Linked DNA regions of Rhinolophus ferrumequinum. The protein of the gene in region 2 purifies or fractionates together with the protein of the main gene of each other region. This does not show direct contact. Links are inferred from orthologs where the notes say so. Each region holds a gene or a part of one and is shown on either strand. Other genes may lie near its edges.

Region 1 (7,411 bases), on a different chromosome or scaffold from region 2:
AGACCGGGACTTATATCCATTTTTGCTCCAAAAGACGCCTTAGAGCTGACTGGCTGGCTGGGTCTTATTTTTGGGGAAACACGTACCTTCTTCCTTGCACCACACAAAATTTAACTTCATTGGATCATAAGTCTAAATGTAAGACCTAAAACTATAAAACCCACAAAAGAAAACATAGAAGTAAATCTTTGTGACTTTGGTCTGGGAAAGATTTCTTAGATTACAAAAGCGTAAGTGATAACAGAAAAATTAGATAAACTGGACTTCAACAAGAGTTCATCAAAATTAAAAACGTCTGTGCTTCAAAGGACACCATCAAGAAAATGAAAAAGACAACCCAAACAATGGGAGAAAATATTTACAAAATCACATATCTAGTAAGAGACATGTACCCAGAATATAAAAAGAACTCCTACAACTCAGTAAGAAAAAGACAACCCAATCTAAACATGGGCAATAGATCTGAACAGACATTTCGCCAAAGAAAATACATAAATGGACAACAAGCACATGAGAAGATGCCCAACATCATTAGCCACCGGAGAAATGCAAATCAAAACCACAGTGAGACACTACTTCATACTGACCTATTGTAATAAAAAATACAGATAACAAGTGTTGTCCAGCACGTGAAAAAATTGGAACCCTCAGACATTGCTAGTGGGATTGTAAAATGGTGCAGCCACTTAGAAAACAGTTTGGCAGTTCCTTGAATGTAAAACAGAGAATTACCATATGACCCAGCAATTCCAATCCCAAAATAAATTAAGACATATGTCCATACAAAAACCTGTACAAACATGTTCATAGCCGCATTACTCATCATGGCCAAAAACTGGAAACAACTTAAATATCCATCACTAGTGATGGATAAATAAACTGTGTTATATACATACAATGGAATATTATTTGGCCATAAAATGGAAGTACTGATGATACATCGGATGAACTGGATGAAGCTTGGATGAACCTTGGAAACATGCTAAGTGAAAGAAGCCAGTCCCAAAGGTCCACATATATGCGTATGATCCCATGTGATATGTCCGGAACAGATAAATCTACAGAGGCAGAAATGTACAGATTAGCTGCCAAGGGCTGCGGTAGGAGAGAAATGGGGAGTGACTGCTAATGGATACAGGGATTCTTTCCGAGGTGATAAAATTGTTCTAAAATTGATTGTCGTGATGTATGCAAAACTCTATGAACATACAAACCATCCTTGAACTGTATGCTTAAATGGGTGTACTGTGTATGTGAACTGTACCTCAATAAAGCTGTTTTATAAAAAAAATTTAATGTCGCTTGTGGAAAACAAGGAACTTTCAAGACTATGAACTGATCTGATTACTAAGCAAGTTCTTGCTTGAGACACTTAGAAATTTTCTAAGACAGATTACTCCTTTAAATATTTCTAAATCTTAACTAAAATAGAATTGTAGTACTTACAACTGTCAGGACATAAAATGAGATTCACCCAAGATACCTGAGTAAACATATTACTTTCCTCTACATGGCTGAACTGTACTTCCCATGACAACAAACAATAACTGCAGCAAAACACTCCACAGGGAGACTGAGAAGTCAATCTCCAAGAAGAATCTAATACTAATACTGAGTTAAGAAGGGGGTGTGGAAAGAATGAGGAAGGGGAAGCAGCACGGGGATAAGGGGGAAGTCTCGATGCATTTAAGCCCCAGGAATCCAGTTACATTAAATTCAACTTTTATACGCTTTGTGAACAGGCCCAGAGGCAAAGTCCTGGGCGCAGACCAACGGGCCGAGCTGCGAAGCCGAGAGGAAGTGCTGATCCGACCCCGGCCCGCACGGGATTTCGTGTGGAAATGGGGGAGAAGGGGGCTGGCGTGCGGGAAAGAGGCGAGCCCCCGCACCCAGCGGGGGCCGACGCTCGCCTGCAGCGCGCAGCCGGGGGCGGCCGCGCGGCCGGCCCGTCGTGCGCGCTCGAGCCGCGGAGCACGCCCGGCGCCTGGAGCTCCGGCGGGGCCGGGTCCTGTCTCCCGCCCCATCCGGCGCTTTGTCCCAGCGCGGGCGGCGGGCGGCCCCTCGGCGTCCTCAGGGTGGGCTGCGCGGCGGCGATGACAGCCCCCGGCCCCAGCAAGGACTGCGAGCCTGCGAGTCCCGGCGGCCGCCGATCCGTCGCCCGGCTTCATCCAGGCGGGACCCAGCAGGCGGCGGTCCGAGGACGCTCTTCTTGCCCGCGGATCTGCCGCCGCCGCCGCCGCCGCCACCGCCCGAAGCGCACGCAGGCCGAGGTCAGGCGCAGAAAGCCTCAGACTCCGAAACCCACACTATTTCCAGCATCCCTCTCTTACCCAAAAATTCTCGACGAAATGCGCCATGACCATCGTGCCGCTGTCGCCGCCGCCGCGCCGGGTTCTGCGTCCGCGCCCGCCCGCCGCTGTGTAAACACCGGCCCGGCCCCCACGGCGCCCCCGCCTTTCACCGCCGCCGCCTTCTTCCCGGAGACCAGCCCGCACCCTTCAGGGCGCATGCGCCCCCTAGCGGCCGCCGCCGCGGGACGAGCACTTCGAGGACACCGCCTGGTGCGCGCATGCGCGCCGGGCCCCGTTCCCGGGTTTCAGTCGCCTGCTCTCTCTCTTTCTCTCTCCCCAGCGCGGGCGCGGCTAGGTTGAGTATTCTCTTGGGAATGGTGGAGAACCGGGTCCCTGAGGAGTCACTCGGGAGGCCGTCCGCACCCTTTGTGGCGCGATGGGTACTGGCTCAGGGACCGGGCTAAGACAGGGGCCGGCCAGCGGCGGGGGAGCCGGTAGCCTGGCTGCTCGCTCCCTTCCTCGTCACAAGGCTCGCTTCCCCCGCCTTCTAGGAGTCGGATGGGACCCAAGTCTGGGCAAGCTGGGATGGGGGAAACTTGGCCTCTAGCCACCTGGAGGACACTCAGAAACCTTTGGTCAACAGGGTGCCTTTCTTTGACAAGGAACTAAGAACCAAAACAAAACTTTCCAAGGCCTGAAAAGGAGGAAACGCCCAGTGTCGCCAGAGAGTCACTGGAGCTGCACGAGACCCAGGCACCGAATCCGTGACCTCTAACAACACGCCCCAAGCAAACCAGCCAGGGTGGCCTACTGCAGGAACGTGACCCAAAACGAACGAATTTCCCTGACCCAGGCAATTAAAAAAAAATTTTTTTTTCAGGACTTGTACATGTGAGTCCGTGGTTCTCTTAGCAACGTGTACATTTTGGAAAAAGAAACAAGTTTAAACACGCCTCGGCATAACCGAAAAATCAAATCCCCTTCTCCTTGCTTTCCAAAGGTTAAGGGAAAAAACTTCCTGTAGAGAGGTCTCAAGTTCACTGTCACCAGATCTGCTACTAGGTCCAAATCTGCAGCTCTTGAAGCCAAGCCCCACAAACAGATTTACTGTAGTTTTAACTGTACAAACACATCACATCTTCAGATTTTGTGGCTTCAAACATAATGAACACAACACTATTTCTTCATTGGAAATTACTCATACTTTCATTCTCAAAAGTAAAAACCACACAGTGGCTTACACTGGATGAAACTAAAGTATTTGTTGAATTGGGAACAATTGGGTAATGGTATTGTCATATCTTTTTAAGAATATTTTTTAGAAATATATAGGATATAATGATAAGACATCTAGAATTTGCTTTAAAATAATTCACTGAGGGAGGGGGTGTGAATACGGGTAGCTGAAACAAGGTTAACCATCAGTTGATAATTGCTGCAGCTAGGTAATGGAAACATGGTGGTTCACTATACTCTTCTCTTTTGGTATATGTTTGCTATTCCCTTTCTTTAGAAAGTCCTCATAAAAGTGTCATTGACACCTAGTTTTGGGGGAAGTCATACTTAGAACTATGCTACAATTCTTTAAGCCATTAGGCTAGCGCTATCTTTCTTGATGCTATAGAAATTCCAGAAAAAATACAGCCATCTAGATCTCCCTGCAAATAAGCTTGGCATTAAATTCCTATCACTAAGCTCTAAACCCCTTAGACCTAAGGAGATGCCCCAATCCTGGATCCCATACTTTGAAGGACCTTACGTATCACAAACACTAATTTATTAAAAACCCATGGCTGCCTCTGCTGCTCCTGTTCTAAGGTTGAACACTGGCCCACAACCATAAATACCCTCTCCCATGACCAACATTATTCAGCCCCAGGAAAACATTTCTTATCTCTTGCCCTATGTCTTCAAAACAAAAAGTGGACTCCAACTGCAGTGAAAACTTGTGGGTAGTATAGCTGCCCATATCAGAGATAAACTGCTGTGGAGTTCAGACAACTTGAGCAGCAGAAGTACTTAAGAAAGAAAGAAGACAGGCAATTAACTTGTCCAATTGTTCCTCTCAGCTTGAATGCAGTAGATCGTTTGGTAACAAAGTGGTGTCAAGCACAGACTTTCCTTCTCTTAGTGTTCCAATTTGTGATTCCAACACAATTTAGCATAATACATATTCAATACTTGCACGGGGTACACTGGTCTCCATTTATACTCTTATCTCTGGTTCTCATAAATATTATAGGCAGGCCTGCCATAAAGATAAGTATCCTATATATTTCGGGTATTTACAAGGTTCATTGGGGCCAAAACACCATAGGCTATAATTGCCTGGTATTTAAACTGTGGAACTTTACAGTAAATAGTGATTACGGTGACTAAATTTCAGACAAGATGGTGTAGTAGAAGAAGAATGTGGGTGGTATCAGCCACCTTCAGTTCTCTCAAGTGAGGTTTGCAGGGATGCACACACACTCTGGTAGAGCATAGATAAGGTCCTGAGTGGGGAGCTCACTCATATGACCTTAAAGTACTTGTGCCACACACACTTACCTATGCTTATCCCAAAAGATTCTGAAATTATTAAAAAACTGGCATAGATAGCAACAGCGTTCCACTCACTGCCTATAATACCTGGCACTTCATAGTCACTTTGTAAGTGTTCAGTGAAAGAATAGATGAGTGATTGAGCCTATGATAGAAACGTGAAGGTGCATGAGACTTTGAATAGGCAATAACTCCATTCTTCTTTTACTCATACTTTTTTTTCCATACCACAGACACTCTTTTATTTACTCATCCTCTTTATTGGTGCTAGATCTTAGAATCTATTAAAAATGTCATTATTTAAGTTCTATTTGATTTAATTTTCTCTCATTACTTTAAATATTTTCAAAAGAGTCCTTTGGGGCTTGGGTATACTTCTTAAAGGATAAGCTACCTTTTGTAATAAAAATAACATAAAATTGAAATAATAATATTCAAGATTGGCTATGGAAGGGACCCCTAAACAATTTGGCTTTCAATTTTTGGGTGCCTCCACCACCAGATTCGTCTTCCTCTTAGGATCTCTCCCTAATTATAACTGCCATCAACATGTTGGCTTCCAAAGGATATTGTTGGTCCCCATAAAACTGTGTCCCAAATATGTACATTATAGCCCAAAGCATACCTGCACTGCTCAAAAATAACTTGATAAATAGTAGCAAATGAGAGAGGAAAAATTAACACAAATAACCTAAATCTAAATTCCCTCGTTGAAAAAATATGGTTTAGCTCCAAGATTTGAGGGCAAGGCACCCAGAGAACTTCCCCCTTTTCATTCCTTAGTTTGATCTCCCATTTCCAATCCTGGGTTCACAGCTCACAGCACATTAATGAACATCTAGTTAGCAAGGTCATTTCCTCATTACTTCATATAAAACTAGTTCTATTCTAGAAGAGTTGATGATAAAGTAAAACTCATTTTCCCATTTATTTTCAATATGATTTTGCGAATGTATTTCCACTTGTTTCCAAGATGAGGGTAGCAGAGGAGAAGCTCCTATAAATCTCTCTTGTTTCCTGCTGATTTCTTTAAGGGGCAGCATCCTGTGTCAGATGCAGTATTCCTTCTCTGTTCTCATCTTGCACTTGACAATAACAAGTGGCAAAGAGCTAAGCTCCATTAAAAGGCGGAAGAGAAACAGGCAGATCCCTGAAGTCTGGTGTCCTCTTGTTTTTCCCAACTCAATAGCTGCATACTGACAGCAAACACTTTATGCAAAACAGAAAGAAAAGCAGAAGCTTAGCAGATGGTACCCAGGCAGGCAGCTATATGAGGGCAAGGAGGTAGAAACAAGTTAATCAAACTGCAGGATGGAGCTAAATACCACCTTCCACATACTCTTCTCGGTTCACAGCAACTTGCTAGGCACACCTTTCTTCTCTGTTGAGGGAGTGACTGTATGCTCCCTGATGGGGCATCATCTCTTCCTCCAGAATGAGATGTACTTTCCCAGGGACTCTCTTCTCTTCCCTTTCTGTCTGTGGAAGAAGCACAAAAACACCTGACAGATTGTTCACGGGGTTACAGTGCTGGTGACCACAGGGAACCCAACAGGGGATTCAAAAATAAGAAAAGAGAAATTACTAAATTATAGAAAGTCATGAAGGTGATGATAATGTAAAAACATATAAAATGTTTTTCATTAATGTTAAGTGGAAAGGTAGAAGATGACATGGATAATACATTAAAAATGCATGTAAATAGACAAAAATCAAAAGAAAACATGAAAAAATATATGAGGTATCAAAAAATATAGTGAATATTTAAATTTAAAAAAGTATTACAGTAAAAGACGCATTGCCATTATTCCCCCTCAAAATACTCCCCCTCATTTGAAACACACTTATCTCATCATTCTTGCCACTTTCTGAAGCAGTTCTTGATGTCCTCTTTCATGAGTATCTTTAGTTGTGCTGTTGTGTCTGTCTTGATGTCCTGAATTGATTGAAATGTTTACCTTTCATGGTCATTTTGACTTTGGGGGAGAGCCAGAAGTCACACAGTGCCAGACCCGGTGCTAAGGTAGATGAGGACGCATCATAGTGTTTTTATTTGATAGAAATTGCCGTACCAGAAGCGATGTGTGACATGGAGTGTTGTCATGATGGAGGATGAAACTGTTTGCCCATTTCATGTTAATGCATTGCTCATGATCCATGATTTACAGCACACTTTAAAACTCATCTTCTCTCAACCATAGCTCACACCCAACTGACTGCGCCGAACAAGTTGAAACTTGTCACTCTGTTGATAAGGTTCTTTGTGCAGCTTCCTGTATTAAAGATCTCTGCCTTTCCGTTGGATGGCACTCGACAGCAGCATTCACCTAATGTTTTGATCACACCTTGTATATGTGTTAGGGTGATAAGATTATGACAATTGTTAAACATTTAAATTTTATTTTAACGTTATAGCATACTAAGATTTAAAAAGCAATCACTGCTCTTTGTTTTTGTTTGAATATAAATGTAACTAGCCCTAATCTTCTTTAAGTCTCTCATTAACTCTCTCTTTTTCATTTGTTCAGGCAATAGACAATTATTGAGCACTTAATACACTGAAAAGACTGTCTCTG
Region 2 (7,516 bases):
ATATTGCCTGTCTTTTTTTTTTTTAATTTTTATTGGAGAACAGTGTGTTTTTCCAGGACTCATTAGCTCCATGTCAAGTCATTGTTTTCAATCTAGTTGTGGAGGGCACAGCTCACTGGCCTATGTGATAATCTAACCAGCAACCTTGTTAAGAGCACCGTGCTCTAACCAACTGAGTTAACCGGCTGCCCCTCTTGCCAAATTTTTTTTTTAATTTTTGTTGGGGAATATGGGGAGCAGTGTGTTTTTCCAGGACCTATCAGCTCCAAGTCAAGTTGTTGTTTTGTTTTGTTTTTCAATCTAATTGTGGAGGGCGCAGCTCAGCTCCAAGTCAAGTCATTTCACTCTAGTTGTGGAAGGTGTAGCTCACTGGCCCATGTGGGAATCAAACCGGCGACCTGGGTGTGATGAGCTCTGCGCTCTAACCAACTGAGCCATCCGGCCGCCTCTCTTTGCCCATTTTTTGATGAGTTGTTGAGTTGTAGTTCTTCATGTACTCTGGATAATAATCCCTTACCAGATATGTGTTTGCAAAGATTTTCTCCCATTCTCTGGCTTGTCTTGTCACTCTTGATAGTCCTTTGATGCAAAATTAAAGTTTTTAATTTTTATGTTCAATTTACATTTTTTGTTGTTGCTTATGCTTTTGGGATCACATAACTTTTAAAAGAAATATACTCTTTACTAACAATTGTCACCACAATAAACTTTAATTTAAAAGAAAAGAAATATATGACAGAAATTAAGTGGTCAAACTTAATATCACCAAGGATGAAACCAACCAACATCACATGCCCCCAGCCGGATACTCTAAGAAGGACACGGCATCACTTATGTGATATTCCTGACAAAAAATGTCAAACCTGGATCTAATCATGTAGAAACATGGACTCTTAGAAAATGCCAACCTCTTGAAATACTAACAAGACAAGGGAACTGTTCCAGATTTAATAAGGCTAAAGGAACGTGACAGTTAAATACAACCTATGATTCTGGATTCAATTGAACAGAAATCAGATTTGTGTACCAATTGTTCCAGATCCTGGAACAGAAAAAAAAATCTATAAGGAATATTACTGAGATGATCAGGGATATTTTTATATGGACCTATATTAGATAGTAGTGTAGTATTAATATTTTTCGCCTTTTAAAAAAGTGCTTATTTATGTCAATTACAGTTGATACTCAATATTATTTTATATTAGTTTCAGGTGTGTAGCACCTGAATGTTAAACATTTATATAGCTTATGCAATGATCCCTCGATTAGTCTAGTACCCACCTGGCAATATACATAGTTGTTGAGACATTATTGACCATATTCTCTATTGCTGTACTTTACATACCTGTGACTATTTTGTAACTACCAATTTGTACTGATTTTTTTATTAGTTTCAGGCGTACAAAGCAACATAATAGTTAGACATTTAAACCCCTCATAAAGTGATAACCCACCTTCCAAGCTACTACCCCTCTGACATCTTATATAGCTGTTATAATACCATCGACTTTCTTCTCTATGTTGTACTCCACATCCTGTGACTATATATACCTATATATTTAGTTATAGTTGACATTCATATTATCCTACTTCAGCTTCAGGTGTATAGCGCATTGGTCAGGCATCTACATAGTCTATGACGCGATCCCCTGATAAGTCCAGTGCCCATCTGACACCTTACATGATCTTTGCAACATTGTTGATTATATTCCCCATACTGTATTAACTACCAATTTGTATTTCTTAGTGCCTTCACCTTCTTCACCCTGCCCCCAACCCCATTCCCATCTATCACCCCTGACAGATCTAGTGCCTATCTGATGCCATACCTAGTTATTACAGTATTGTTAACTATATTCCTTATGCTATACCCTACATCGCCATGACTACTGTATAACAACCCATTGTACTTCTTAATCCCTTCCCCTTTCACCTGTCCTTAACCCCTCTCCCATCATAAAAAAGTCCCTCTAAGATTCCTTGTAATACTGGTTTGGTGGTGATGACCTCCTTCAGTTTCTTTCTTCTCTGGGGAGCTCCTTATCTGTCCCTCAATTCGAAATGACAGCCTTTGCTGGGTAGAAACAATCTTGGTTGTATGTTGTTGCTTTTTCATCACTTGGAGTATTTTTCTGCCACTCCCTTCTTGCCTGCAAAGTTTCTGTTGAGAAATCAGCTTGACAGTCTTATGGGGGGCTCCCTTATAGGTAATTAACTGCTTTTCTCTTGCTGCTTTAAGATTCTCTCTTTGTTTTCAATCTTTGGCATTTTAATTATGATGTGTCACGGTGTTGGCCTCTTTGGATTATCTTGTTTGTGACTCTCTGTGCTTCCTGGGCTTATATGTCCATTTCCTTCACCAGGTTAGGGAAGTTTTCTGTCATTATTTCTTCAAATAGGTTTTCAATTCCTTGCTGTCTCACTTCTCCTTCTGGTACCCCTATAATGTGACTGTTGGTACACTTGATATTGTCCTAGAGGCCCCTTAACCTCTCCTCAATTGTTTGGGTTCTTTTTTCTTTTCCTGTTCTGGTTGGGTGTTTTCTGCTACCTTATCTTCTACATTGCTGGTTGGATCCTCTACTTCATCTAATCTACTGTTGATTCCCTGTAATATAGTCTTTGTTTCCATTATTGTATCCTTTATTTCTGACTGTTTGTTCTTTTTTATGGTTTCCATCTCATTTTTATGAGATCACTGAGCATTCTTATAACCAGTGTTGGAACTCTGCGTCTGATAGATTGCTTATCTCCGTTTCACTTAGTTCTTTTGCTGGAGCTTTGTTCTGTTCTTTTGTTGGGACATGTTTCTTTGTCTCCCCATTTTGGCTGCCTCCCTGTGTTTGTTTCTATGTATTAGGTAGGGCTGTTACATCTTCCAATCTTAGTAGAGTGGCCTTATGTAGTAGGTGTGCTGTGGAGTTCAGTGCCACAGTCTTTCTGGTGATCTGAGCCACGCACTCCAGGTGAGTCCCTTGTTTGGGTTGTGTGTGCCCTCCTCGTGTAGTTGAGCCTTGGTTGATAATTGCACATCAATGTGAGGGACTGATTCTTAGGCTCACTGATTATGAGGATTGGCCTTGACTATAGTGGAAGAGCTGTTGGCAGGGGCTGATCCTACAGAGCAAGATCTGCCAGTGTAGTATTACTATTTAAATTTCCTGAATGTATCATTGTATGTTTATGGAGGAGACGTCTTTGTTCTTAAGAGGAATGTTGAAGCATGAAGCCTTTTGGGATGAAATAGCATGATATTTGCAACTCACTTAAAATGGTTCAAATAAATATAGAGAGAGTAAATGTGGCAAGATATCAACAATTAGTGAATCAAGATGAATAATACATTGGAGTTCATTGTGCTAATACTACAACTTTTTGTAGATATGAAAACTTTCTATGCAAAAAGTTGGAGAGATAAATAAAAAGAAAAATCAAATGACACACTGTATACGTGTCACTCTGCATCTCCCTTTGTTTCTTCAACAACATGTCCTAGGGATCGTCCAAGTCAATGCACAGAGATCTTGCTCACTCATCGTAACTCTCGTTGCATAATATTTTATGTGACTGCATGTGATTGAGTTTTCCTCTATTGATGCATATTTTGTCTCTTTCCAATTTTTCCCTATAACAAGCATGCTGTAATGACATGGCAAAGGAGAGAATCTTTCCAGGGTCCATACTCATACTAAAGTGCTGGGACTAGTCCTTTCCGTCTATTTCTGTGGAATGTCACCTCAGGCTCCAACCACCCAGGCTGTGAGATTCCTGGGGGCAGAGACAAAGTCTGTGCCCCTGCTTGAGCACTCTGCCTGCCTTGCCTTCCCCAGCCCCCACCTACGATAATCATTGCTTGGTTAATTTCCACTCATCTTCGGATCTCGGCTCAAATGCCACTCCCTCTGGGAGGTTTGTCCCTAAGTCTTCACCTAGACTAGGTGCCTCCGCTATAAGCAATTGTAGTAGTCAGGTTTCAGGATAGACTGCAATGATTCTAACCTGGTATTCATATCCCCTCCTACACTGGATAGGGCTGATTTGTGTACCTGTAGGACATTGCGGAAATAACAGGGTGTGACTTCTGACTCCCAAAATGCTCATATGCTACTGTCCGTCTTCCACAGAGAAACACTCAAGGTATTTTAAACAAAGCACTAAGTGAGCACCGAAAGACAGTTACATTTCTAGCTCCCCCAAACGCAGTTTCTTATTTAAAACTACTATTCCCAGCATGCCCTTCTTTCCTTGAAAGTGGTGCGGGGGCGGGGGGCGGGGGAAGGAAGGGTCTACTAGAACTACATTTCCCAGAATGTAACGCCCAACGTGCATTTCGGGAATTGTAGTCTTCTGAAGAAGTGCACCGACAACTCCCGGCATGCATTTGGAGCATGACCCGTCTGGTGGGAAACGGACAGGAGCGCGCCAGCATGTTGGAAGAATGATCGTGTCTTCCACTGGCCTGCCGCCCGAACGAGCAAACCCATTCTTGGGACTACAATTCCCAGCGGGAAGTGCGCGATAGGGCAAGAGGGTTCCTCTGCCGGAAGTCCGCTCTAGCCCTGGGTCCTCCAACTGCTTCCAGAGCCGGAGCCGCCCAGTCGCCGCGGGACCGGGCCAGCTGGGGTCCGGACGGGGGTCGCCATGGTAACGGGGCCGCGCTCACGCTGGGGACAGGAGGAGGGTGGGTCCACGTGCAGATACTGGAGGCTCGGCTGGGTACTGACAGTCGCCCCCCGCTGCTGTGGCAATGGTCTGGGCCGGGCGCGGGCTCTCGGGATTGGGACCGGTCACAGGCCAGAAAGGGGGGAACTGAATGGTAATTCTGGGCGCGGGGGGGTGTACCCGAGACTGGAGGCTAGGGACATTGAGATCAGGTGTCAAGGGGAGAGGGTTGTGCGGGTGGGAGGACATTGGTGATGATTGGGGGGCTTTGAAAACGGAGGCAACTGACAAAGCAGGGTCTCGGAGGTGGGGAGAAGGAATTGGAGGTGGGATGGAGGTGTCCTGAGATGAGGGCTCTCTAGGAGTGTAGCAGGAGCGTGGGAGAAGAATAAGAGACATAGGGATAGAGAGAAGGGGTCTCTAGAGGCAGGAAGCTGGCATTACAGGCGGGAGAGGGGGTGTTGAAAACGAGCGAGATACTGCTGATGAGAGATAATCCCAGGGGAAGAGACTGGACAGTGGAGACGGGAAGTAGACAACTGTAGGGAATGGGTTTAGAGTCGGGGAAAGTGCTGCAAAGGGGGAAGAAGGCTTGGAGGTAGGGAGTGGATACTAGAAATGAATGGGGCGCAATGGAACAGGTCTTTCCAAGGAGAGCTGAGTTGGGGGGGTCGGATTAGGCATGGAAATGAGAGATGGCGTTTGTGGAGCAAGGACGGGCCATTGGATTTAGCACCCGTCCCCGGGTATGGCTTTTGAACCATAAGAAAGGATTTCTTTGGGCAGGAAGTAGGGAAAAAGAGATGAATGGGGGGTGGTGTCAGAACAGCTTTGCCTCAGCTCCAATAGGTTTGCTTCCTGGTCTCCTTCCTGTATGCCCATATATCCCGGCTCTACCCCTAGGCTGTGGCTGCCTGAGGTGGGTCCCACCCACCTCCACCCCAAGCCCTTTCCCTTCCTGACCAGCACCCCTGCCCTGCTAGGAAGTGGTTTTCCCTAGCCTCAGCAGAAGGGATTCTGGAAGGAAAGTGCAATATCCTGTTCCCAGCCAGCTTGATTGGTTGGGGTTAGGGGAGAGAGTATATGGAGAAAGGCTTAGGAAAGAGAATGGTCTTTCATGAAAGGGTGGAGACTCCCACAAGGCAGGGGTAAGGGGGTTCAGAACAAAGCCATTGGACTCCCAGCTCTGCTTGCTGACTGTGAGACTTCTTCTCTGAGCCTCAGTTTCTTCATCTATAAAATGGGCATAAAGCATGCCTGTCTCAACCAGAACTGGGCTCAAAGGCAGCCTTCCTAGCTGGGCCATGATTTTCTCAAAGTCAAATGATGATGAATTATAATACGAAGAACTAATACTAACGAGTATATGTCACTTAGTATGGGCTAGTCACTATACTACACCCCTTATGTTTATTAAGCTGTGCAACGGTCTTATGAGGGAAGGACTCTCATTATGTCTGTTATACAGAAGGGGAAACTAAGGTCCAGAAAGGTTAAGTGGCTTCCCATGAACACAGTGAGCAGTGCCAAGATTCATTCAGACTCTAGAGTTTGTGTTCTTAATGTCCCTCAATCATAATAATAGCTAATTTTATTGAATGCTTGATAGGTAGTAGGCACCCTGCTAAGCAAGCACTCCTGGCATTAACTCCTTCAGTTTTCTTAGTAGCCCTGTGACGGTTGACCTGGCATTTTAGAATCATACAAACAATTTTCCTAGTAATCATAGTGGACACTGTGTATTATCTGAACCAGGCACTACTCTGGGTACTTCTCAGATGTTGTTTGTTCCTCATCACACCCTTATATGGCCCTATTTTTTAGGTGGATAAACTGAGGCACTAAGCAGTCAAGTCACTTAGGAAGCAGCAGATGCTTTGGAAAACAGTTTAGCAGTTCCTGGAAAAGTTACACGTAGAACCCAACAAGTCCACTCCTAGATGTCTACCCAAGAGAAATGAAAACATGTCCACATAAAAACGTATACACAAGTGATCTTAGCAGTATTCTCAGAATCACCAAAAAGTGGAAACAGCCCAAATGTCCATCAGCTGATGGAAAGATAAACCAAACGAGATTTATCCGTACAGTGGAATATTATGCAGCCATAAAAAGAAATGAAGTGCTGATATATACTACTACATGGATGAACCTTGAAAACATTATGCTGAGTGAAAGAAGCCAGGCACAAAAGGCCATATATGGTGTATTCCACTTATATGAAATGTCCAGAACAGGCAAATCCACAGAGACAGAGAGATTAGTGGTTGTTAGGGGCTGGGAGGAGGGAAAGTGACTGCTACTTAGTCGGGGTTTCTTTTTGGGGTGATGAAAATATTCTGGAATTAGATAGTGATGTTTTTTGCACAATTGTATGAATATATTAAAAACCACTTAACTGTACACATTTTAGGTGAATTTTATGGTATGTGAATTATATCTCAATTTTTAAAAAGTAAAAAGAAATAAAGAAGTTGGCATTACCGGACTCAGGCCAAAGAATGACACTCAGTTACTGGGTGCCTGCTATGTTATCAGCCACTGGACTCATTTTATAAACTTGTTTTGCCATTGGGGGAACTGAGGCGTAGAGGGGTGGATCTTTTGTCCAAGGTCAGGCAGACAAGAAGGGGTGCAGCCTTGGGACTCAGGGCCCTGGAGCTGAGTGGAGTTGACCACTTGGTGGAAGAGAAATCACTCTACAGAGGGTACTGGAGGGACCTGGGACGGGAGCACGTGGTCAGGTCGGCCTGGCTGGGCTCTGGGGAAGGCAGGCAGCAGGGAGGCTTGGACCCTATCTCCCTGGTGGCGATGGGTGGGGCTGTTGGGTGTAGCATTGGCCCTCCCTCCCTGC

Evidence for each region. The genes of interacting proteins can lie anywhere in the genome.
Region 1: the proteins of AP2S1 (region 2) and FCHO2 purify together in Homo sapiens (co-immunoprecipitation; 3 studies listed by BioGRID and IntAct, counting the BioPlex papers as one, with this or other methods). This does not show direct contact. The link is inferred for Rhinolophus ferrumequinum from reciprocal best matches to the Homo sapiens genes AP2S1 and FCHO2.

Annotation. Positions count from the first base shown.
Region 1 is NC_046290.1:46,140,967-46,148,377, reverse strand, and holds the start of FCHO2 (F-BAR domain only protein 2), read right to left. Parts: upstream 3,050-7,411; 5' UTR 2,364-3,049; coding exon 2,331-2,363; intron 1-2,330. UniProt on the Homo sapiens protein: Functions in an early step of clathrin-mediated endocytosis. Has both a membrane binding/bending activity and the ability to recruit proteins essential to the formation of functional clathrin-coated pits.
Region 2 is NC_046298.1:42,935,616-42,943,131, reverse strand, and holds the start of AP2S1 (AP-2 complex subunit sigma), read left to right. Parts: upstream 1-4,445; 5' UTR 4,446-4,641; coding exon 4,642-4,644; intron 4,645-7,516. UniProt on the Homo sapiens protein: Component of the adaptor protein complex 2 (AP-2). Adaptor protein complexes function in protein transport via transport vesicles in different membrane traffic pathways.